Mus musculus: one gene and its partner. The main gene of each other region encodes a partner of the protein of the gene in region 2 in a complex. Links are inferred from orthologs where the notes say so. Each region holds a gene or a part of one and is shown on either strand. Other genes may lie near its edges.

Region 1 (4,375 bases), on a different chromosome or scaffold from region 2:
CCATTGAAAGTGATGCTAAATCTACCATTTTATAAAGAAGAAACAAAAGGCTCAGAGAAACCGGCTTGGAGTTTACAAAGCTGGTGAGGCGCGAGAGACATGAATTGTTTGCTTCCGAACTGTTATAAATTCTGTTCTGCACAGTGCCTGCCGGACTCGGGAACAGAATCAGCCATACACACACATACATACACACACACACACACACACACACACACACACACACCGCCCCCCAACCTCTCTAGTGCTTTTTACTGGTTGGGGTTTGTTTTGAGAAAGAGACTCACTGTGTATGCTGTCCTGGAACTTGCTATGTAGACACCAGGCTGGCCTCAAAGTCACAGACAGCCTCTCCTCCCAAGTGCTGCACCACTAACCCAGCACCGACCCTTCCAACTGTCTGCCAATGACAACCTGTCTTTACTCTTGGGCTTAGAGTTCCTGTTAGGCTCAGAACGGCATGCTATGACAAAAGACTGTCACTTTGGTATACACAGTACATAGTATTCACACAAAGACTCTTGTCATTTGGGGGAGGTGGCAGGTTTTTTTCATAACTTGTCATAATTTTTGAGACAGGGACTCTTGCTAAGTTACCCAGGCTGGGTATGAATATAAACAGGGTCTTGTTATTAGTCGATGGTTGCCCTGAAATGTTCTGACTGGGTTAAGGGGTCACTGCAAGCCCAGTGACCTGAGTTCAATCCCTAGGAAAACAATATGGAAGGGGTGAACCAGCTCCCTCAGGCCATCCTCTGACCTCTACGGCGAGGCATAAGCATGCACACACACATGCACGTGCACACACACATGTACACGCACACGTGCATGCATGCACACACACACACACACACACACACACACACACACACACACACACATACACGCTAAATAAATACAATACAGAAAACACTCAAGGGTGATACTCAAGGGAGGCATGAGAGGACGAAATGCCCCATGTCTGAATCATGTTTTGCCATGTGACTCTTGCTTCTGGACCCTGCCTACCATAATATGGTGTACAGCTCCCTGCTCTGCAAGGTGGAACTACTGCCCCCTTTACTCCTAAAGCTGTCCCAAGGAATTAGCACTCAACATACACTGATCTCAGACCTGCTTACATGGAGGGCCTTGGGAGGCCAAGGTGTGAAAGAGGCTGTGGGAGAAATGTCAGAAAGCAAATGAAAGCCAGGCTCTATGAGGCCACTAAATACAGACAGACATGGGCACGGGAGGCTTAAGCTGGGTGAAAGGATGCCAGGCTGTCAAGTCTGAAGAATGAGGAGCCAAGTCATCTGCTGGGAAATCACCTCTCACATTATAAGCACAGAGGTGCTAGGACAGGACTGAGCTGTGATGCCTGAAAAACAGCAAGAGAGTGGTGAGGGACAGCACTGTGCATCTGTGATCCCGCTTCAGTTCCACCTCTCCCCAAAAGGTAGTCAGCGGCAGCACTAGAGAATGGGGGGTCAACATGGAGAATCCACAATTTCCAAGAGAGCACAGATTCTAGCAGCTCAGTAAGGGCTGCTCCAAAACCTAGTTTTATTTTAGTGTTAATTTAAAGAAAGATTTTTAAGTGTTTCCATGTGTCTCTGTGTGGGTTGTGCATGTGAGTAGGTGCCATGGAGGTGAGGTAGTGTGCCCGGCACTACTGGTACAGAAGGCTGTGAATTGCCTGGCACAGAGCTGGTGGTAGGAAGAGAACACAGGTCTTCTCACAAGCCGTCTGCAGTCTTCAGCACTGGCGACCTTTCCAGTTTCATTATTGCCATCTTACTGGCGTTAGCGCAAAGGTGGTAAAACAGTAGAGACAACCTGTATTCTCAGAACTGAGAAAGCTAAGGCAGTATGATCAGCCAGCAGGTTTAAGGGTAAGTCAGAGACTCTGTCTTAACCATTTTGGCACTAAAGAGGTGGAGGCAGGGGCATCACTATTGTGAGTTTGAGCCTAGCCTGGTTATATAGCTGATTTCAGAACAGCCTGAATAACATGGACTCCATCTCAGTTCTTCCCATCCCACCTATTTGGTGATATGGTAGGCAGCACATGCCTGTAGTCTCAGGACTCAGGAAGTGGAGGCAGTAGGTTCACTGCAATGAGTTGGAGGCTAGCCGGGATTACATACTTAAGTTCCTGGACAGCCTGATTCACAGAGTGAGATCGGACCCACCCATACACCACCTAAACAAAAGTATTGGATTGTGGTAGTGCACACCAGGTCCCAGGAGGGTCAGCAGTTCAAAGTCATCCTCTGATACATAGTAAGTTCGAGGCGAGCCTGAGCTATAGGAAACCTCTCAAAATTACAAAAAGGTATAAGAATGCCAAGGATCTCCCTAGTTTCATATGACCTACCTTCCAGGTCCACCCCGTGGCGCTGGGCCAGGTATAGAACATTGTCCCCGACTTTGCCCCTCACCGGGATCCGCTTGCCAGAGCGGTCCACGAACACCACGTTGACCCTGGGGACAAACAGGGTGCAGGTGCTGAGCCGGAGGCAGGGAGTGGCAGGGAGGGGCAGGGCGTGGCACGAGGGGCACTCACACGTCCCGGGGCAGCTCCGGGCTGTCCGCCGCCTCCTCGCCAGCACGCCGCTCGCCTGGAAACACACGAGTGGGTGAGCGGCTGCGGCCTCGCTGCACGCCGCGGCTCGGCCCAGCCCTATGTACCTGTAGTCCCGAACGTCCTAGATGTTACCGCCGCGTGCCCGGCCCTGGGTCCCCAAGATCCCCCGGCCGCCCGTAACAGGACCCGGGCGCTCACGCCCCGGGCCATGGAGGCGGCCATGATAGGCCACGTGACCGGAAGACCTAGCATGCTCTGCGCGTCCTCAGCGACAGTAAACGCAGCGTTTGGGCGCCGTGTGAGGTCAAAGGTGATGCACTGGGATCTAGCTGGACTTCCGGCCTCGCCCTGTGGTTGGATATTTCTTCCCTTAGGTCGTACTGTATGTGTTCTGCTTATATGTACGTATGTGCACCAAGTGGGTGCCTATGGAGCCCAGAAGAGTTGATGGGTAGTGTGGGGCTGGGAACTAAAACTACGTTCGGCAATTGGGACCAACCTCTGAGTTCTCTAATTTTTAGACAGGATCCCCTAGTCTGGCCTTGATCTCCGAATTCCTTTGCTGGAATTACCGGTTATGTGCAACCAGTATTTAAATTTTGTTTGAGACAGAATCTCTATAGACTGAGAAATTCTTAAGTCTCTAAGCAATTCATATAGACCAGGCTGGCCTCCAAGCCCAACTTAAATTTTTAGGGATTGTGTGTATGAGCCCATCCGTGACATGTGTGTAGGTCAGTGGTCAATCTGCGGGAGTCAGTTCTCTCCTTCCACCATTTGGGGCAGAGGGATAAAACTCAGGCTGTCTGTGTTACCAGAATTCTGAGCTAGTTTGCTGGCCCATGGTTTATATCAAGAACCAGCCAGCTCTGATTTTTTTTTTAAAACCGTTTACTTACAAACTTTAATTCAGCAAAGGTCTATGCAGGGGGTGGGGGTGGGGTGAGGGGGTGAGATACACCCACTGGAGTGGGTTTGGGTTATCATGTTTGGGGAGGGAGGCTGGTGGTGGCTCAGCTGGCTAAGGGCAGAGCCCCTAGGTCCCCCTCACATGGACAGAGAGGAGGCCTGCTCCAGTGATCCAGCCTGGGGATGGTAATGACCTGGGTTTGAAAGAACATGGTAGAGGCCCAGTGGCCTGGGTACAATGGTCACCTTTCACAGACAGCAGGGGAGACTGTTGAAGCCAGCAGAAAATACTGGTCTCTGCATCCAGGCTTTGGGCAAAAGGGGTGGTTTGCCAAGATCAAGGCTTTAGCCTTCTGTCCACAGGGCAGACACCTGGAGAAAGGATGAACCCTAGGCCAGAGCTCTTTGGTCCTGAGCGGAGCTTTTGGAGCTCCGCATCTGTGAGGCTCTGACCCAGCAGGACCTGTGGCCCAACTTTAAGGCATCAGAAGGCAAGGATACTGGGGCAGGGGCTGGAGATCTTGGGGCTTAGGGTACTGGCCAGAATAGGCAGGCAGGGGCATGAGACAGCTATACCTGCAGCAGATGACTGGGAAGAGAATAGGGTTAAGCTGTTGGAACCTGCACATGTGGAATAGAGCCTGGGCAGGCCAGACCCTGAAGGAATCAATTTGGGGCTTTTCTGGACGGATGGGGGAGTAGATGTGATAATCATCCTGGTTGTTTTAAAAAATAATAAAAATTAGAAAAGGAAATAAAAGTCAATTGTCGAAGTTTAAAAACGGGGACTGTCTCTGATCCTCACAGGTCAGAGACACCTCCAAAGGCACTCAAGAGGCCAGAACACAGGAGTGACGAGGCAGGAGAGGAGGCCTGGAGCTAGGGAGGGAAAGAGAG
Region 2 (4,443 bases):
GTCCTGGAACTCACTCTGTAGACCAGGCTGGCCTCAAACTCAGAAATCCGCCTGCCTCTGCCTCCCAGGTGCTGGGATTAAAGGCATGCGCTACCATCACCTGGCTCTTTTTTAAAAAGATTTATTTATTTATTTTAAATATGTGAGTACACTGTTGCTCTCTTCAGACACACCAGAATTGGGCATTGGACCCCATTACAGACAGTTGTGAGCCACCATGTTGTTGCTGAGAACTGAACTCAGGACCTCTGGAAGAGAAGTCAGTGCTCTTAACGGCTGAGCCAACTCTCCAGCTCGTGGTGTGTGTGGTTTCCTATTCCTGGATGTGAGATAGGTTCTGGGCCGTGTACACAGGTGTAACCAGCCAAGAACATAAAGTGGTGTAGACAAAACTACACATACCACGGAGATTTAAGGGATCAAATTCAAGTCATTGTGTTAAGGTACCCATGGACATGTCCCATTGACCCGCGAAATGCATTTTTAAAAATGTATTTATTGAACTCTTTCCACATGTGTTTTGAGTTATGCACAAGTGTTAACCTTACGAGCACTGCCTCATTTAATTTCCCCAATAATCTTATACAGCATGAACTATTTCACTTTCCACTTGGTAGATGAGGAGTTCAAGGCTTAGAGAAATGAGCGGATTTGTCAGAGGTCACCTAGGGAAGCTGGGAACTAATTAAACACTTAGTGTCAAATTCCAGAGCTACTACCTGAGTCTCTTCTAGAAAAACAGCTATTTCCATCTGTAAGAAAGAAATAGGTCACATAGACCACTGACTGGAACTCCTCACAGTCCTTCGTGCTAACCTGGCGAGCACGTTCCATGGCTGCCTCGCTCTCCCAGCCATATGCATGAGTCCGAGAATGAGGGTTCCCATAGTAGTTGACAAGGTATGGGAGCATGGCATCAAGCACTCTGGGATCCTGAACAGAAGAAAACAGAGCCCAAAGTCAATTCAGAACCTGCTCGAGCCACCATTACCTGCCAACCTTGCTCAGTGCATTTCCAACCTTTCAGATACTCTCTGCTTTCTTCCACTTCTCAGACACTAATCAAATAGCAACCTGATATATGCCCACTTCAAACTGCAATGTTCTGCAATTCCCACAAGTCTTTCTTTAATTTTTTCATTTACTTATTGAAAGATAAGGTCTTATGTAGTTGAATCTGACCTCATATTTATAAGCCTGCCAGGTTGCCCACTTCAAACTGCAATGTTCTGCAATTCCCACAAGTCTTTCTTTAATTTTTTCATTTACTTATTGAAAGATAAGGTCTTATGTAGTTGAATCTGACCTCATATTTATAAGCCTGCCAGGTGTGCTGATACACACTTTTCTTTTCTTTTTTCTTTTTGGGTTTTTTGAGACAGGGTTTCTCTGTATAGCCCTGGCTGTCCTGGAACTCACTTTGTAGACCAGGCTGGCCTTGAACTCGGAAATCTGCCAGCCTCTGCCCCCGCCCCCCATGCTGGGATTAAAGGCATGTGCCACCAATGCCTGGCACATTTAACAAACAAACAAACAAACAAACAAAAGTTTGAGGGGGCTGGAGAGATGGCTCAGCAGTTAAAGAGCACTGACTGCTCTCCCAGAGGTCCCGAGTTCAATTCCCAGCAACCACATGGTGGCTCACAACCATCTGTAATGGAATCTGATGCCCTCTTCTGGAGTGTCTGAGCATAGCTACAGTGTCCTTGTGTATATATAAAATTAAAAACAAAACAAAATAACAACATAGGTTTGAAACTCCCTATGTGGCTTAGGCTGGTCTTAAGCTCACTCAAACTACCCATGCCACACTGTCCAGCTCCAACACCCGAGCAATTACTATTAGTTATAATGCCTGTACTGGAAGGATCTGACAGGGTCAGTAGCTAAAAAACAGTAAAGCCTTTTCTACTAAACTAACATCTTAGCCTCCTGATTCCTGGCAGCTCCTTTTCCTAGCACATTTAATAGTTCTCAAGTCGGATGAATTTTAGCCTGTCGGTGAAATTTGTCCTTCTAACCTTTCCTCCCTACAAAGAACCTCTGTTAGTCCTTACCAGAGGAGTGGTGGCCTGTACGTCCATGTAGAGAGGTCGCAGCACTGCCTCTGCCTCTGAGTGAACAGGCGAATGGGGGCCATGATCTACAACTAACAACAGATAGCAGTGGCAAAGTGAGAAACCGTGGACGAAGGGCACACAAAACAACAGATGGTCAAAGCTTCTTTGAGGTGAATTTAAGGAAGGCGGAGGTCCAGTGTCAAAGTAAACAAACAACAACACGCGCTGAAAGACATCGAGTTAAGTAATAGACACAGGGTTCTTGGAAAGGGCGCGGGCAGCAGCAGTCGGGGGCAATGTTTAAACTACATAGCACCGAGTGGGACGAGCTGTAAAAAGCAAAGCCATTTAGAAGAAAAGTGAAAAGCGCAGGTTCCTTCAAAGGTTCACGGCAGGAGGAAGCTCATCTAGCATCTTTAAGACTTGGTCAGGAGAGAACTGAAGGATGAGAATTCCGCTCAAGGGAAGTGCGGAGCAGTATGTAAGGGCCCTCCCGAAAACAAATAGGAGACCGGGCGACGGGAAGGTTTAAGAGACTGGGCGATGGAACAAGGCGGGTAGGATCCGCAATAATGCAGTGCTTAGCAGCACCGACCCAAGGGGGTTCGCTCCTCCAGAAACCGTGGGAACGAAAAGGAAAGGGAACGTACCGCGCAGGCGCAGTCCCCGGGTGGGCACCGAGGACCTTCCCAGGGCCAAGGAGGTAGCCGCCAACGACGCCCGCCTCCAAGCGGCTCGCAGCAGCATGTTCCCAGCCACAGAGCCCACCATCCGCGGCGCTTGCAAGTCCTCAGCCCATGCTCCCGGAAGTAACTGCGCTGTGCTCCGGAAGCGATCCCACGGACCGCGAGCGCCCTCCGCCTAGCATTCGGAGTGAGACGTCGAGCTGAGCGATCGCAGCGGAGAACGAGGTGAGGTGGGGCCCGACAGTGGCCTGCGTCGCGCGTGCGGGGTCCTCCATCGCGAGGGTGGTGGAGGCGTGCCGCGGGCTGGCTTCTGACCCGGGTGCTATGTGACCCTGCTGTGCGTCCCCTGGCCGACGCCACGGCTGGTGACCAGGCCCTCACTGTCCTAGCACTCTCGCCGCAGATGCCGGTGGCCGTGGGTCCCTACGGGCAGTCCCAGCCCAGCTGCTTCGACCGCGTGAAGATGGGCTTCGTCATGGGTTGCGCAGTGGGTATGGCGGCCGGGGCGCTGTTCGGCACCTTCTCCTGTCTCAGGTGAGCCTCGCGGACAGAACTTCCTGCCTTCCGAGGGCTCCAGAGCCCACTCAGACGAGGTTGAAAGCACAGGATTTACGGATCTGAGTTCTAAAGTCAAAATGGCTTTCTGACTCCTTTGTTAGTTCAGTGTTATTGAGTTTAGTGGAGTACTGGACACTTACCTCCACTTTTGTAAGAGCCAATCATATTAGTATGATTTACATTATCTGGCACGTCGTAATTACTTAGCGAAGGGTTATTATTGTTGCATGGCGTTTTAACTCCCAACTGCATGTAATGAAGCAAGCCTGATGAGAATTAGGTGTAGTGAAATATTCTACCTCTGAGATAAACTGCTATCACATTTGGATACTGTGCTTATAAATTACTATTTACCCAGCACTAGTTTAATTGTAGTGCTAAGTACTGTAGTTAACCACCGAGCATTAGCTGTGAGCACCTTAAATCCACCAGCACTCTGGACGGAGTGGCAGATTCCTGAGTTCGATACTAGCCTGGTATATAAATGTGAGTTCCAGACAGCCAGGGCTGTTACACAGAGAAACCGTCTCAAAATAAATAATAATAATAATAAATAATAAATTAAAAAGTGTAGTTACCGAGTCTGTAATGTCCATTTTACACTTTATGCAGTTTATAAATTGCAGCGCTTGACTCAATCTAGGTTAAACAAAACAAAACACTAAGGAATTATCTAGAAGAAAACTGGCTACTCAATGATAAAATACCATAGAGGCACAAACACGACTGCTTTCTTGCCCATGTACTTCATTATCTCTGCATCTACAAACTAATGCAGCATTCAGCACAGGTCCTAGAGACCCTAGATAGATATTTTCCTTGTCATTGCTAATCCTATGTGGGGAAGAGTAGCATTTTAAGAATGACAAATGAGATTGTCAAGCTGTTAGTGCTTAATATATTCAACAGATTTTAAAGGGGGGTACTTAGTTCAAATCTCTATTCCTGTAATTGTATTCCCAAATTGCTTTCTTGGTTTCCTCCTCAGGATCGGAATGCGGGGTCGGGAGCTAATGGGCGGCATTGGGAAAACCATGATGCAGAGTGGCGGCACGTTTGGCACTTTCATGGCCATTGGAATGGGCATACGATGCTAATTAGGGCTAGGATGCCCTGCAATACCTAAACTTCCCCATCCA

What was found.
Region 1: the proteins of Nfs1 (region 2) and Fdx2 are in contact, whole or in part, in a cryo-EM structure (PDB 8RMC), measured with the Homo sapiens proteins. The link is inferred for Mus musculus from reciprocal best matches to the Homo sapiens genes NFS1 and FDX2. Residues at the interface, in NP_066923.3 of Homo sapiens: Gln153, Lys157, Leu160, Asp161, Arg164, Ala168, Tyr175, Ala384, Ser385, Leu386, Glu387, Pro388, Tyr390, Arg393, Gln456, His457; in NP_001384335.1 of Homo sapiens: Ala104, Cys105, Glu106, Ala110, Cys111, Pro141, Leu142, Ile169, Thr170, Arg171, Asn172, Phe173, Tyr174, Val175, Asp176, His178, Lys181.

What each region holds. Positions count from the first base shown.
Region 1 is NC_000075.6:21,070,716-21,075,090, forward strand, and holds the start of Fdx2 (ferredoxin-2, mitochondrial precursor), read right to left. Parts: upstream 2,817-4,375; 5' UTR 2,792-2,816; coding exon 2,674-2,791; exon of another isoform or gene 2,604-2,673; coding exon 2,549-2,603; exon of another isoform or gene 2,467-2,548; coding exon 2,360-2,466; intron 1-2,359. UniProt on the Homo sapiens protein: Electron donor, of the core iron-sulfur cluster (ISC) assembly complex, that acts to reduce the persulfide into sulfide during [2Fe-2S] clusters assembly on the scaffolding protein ISCU.
Region 2 is NC_000068.7:156,141,310-156,145,752, forward strand, and holds the start of Nfs1 (cysteine desulfurase, mitochondrial), read right to left. Parts: upstream 2,878-4,443; 5' UTR 2,832-2,877; coding exon 2,711-2,831; intron 2,150-2,710; coding exon 2,058-2,149; intron 934-2,057; coding exon 817-933; intron 1-816. Other genes in the region: Romo1 (reactive oxygen species modulator 1), read left to right, coding at 3,150-3,280, 4,293-4,401.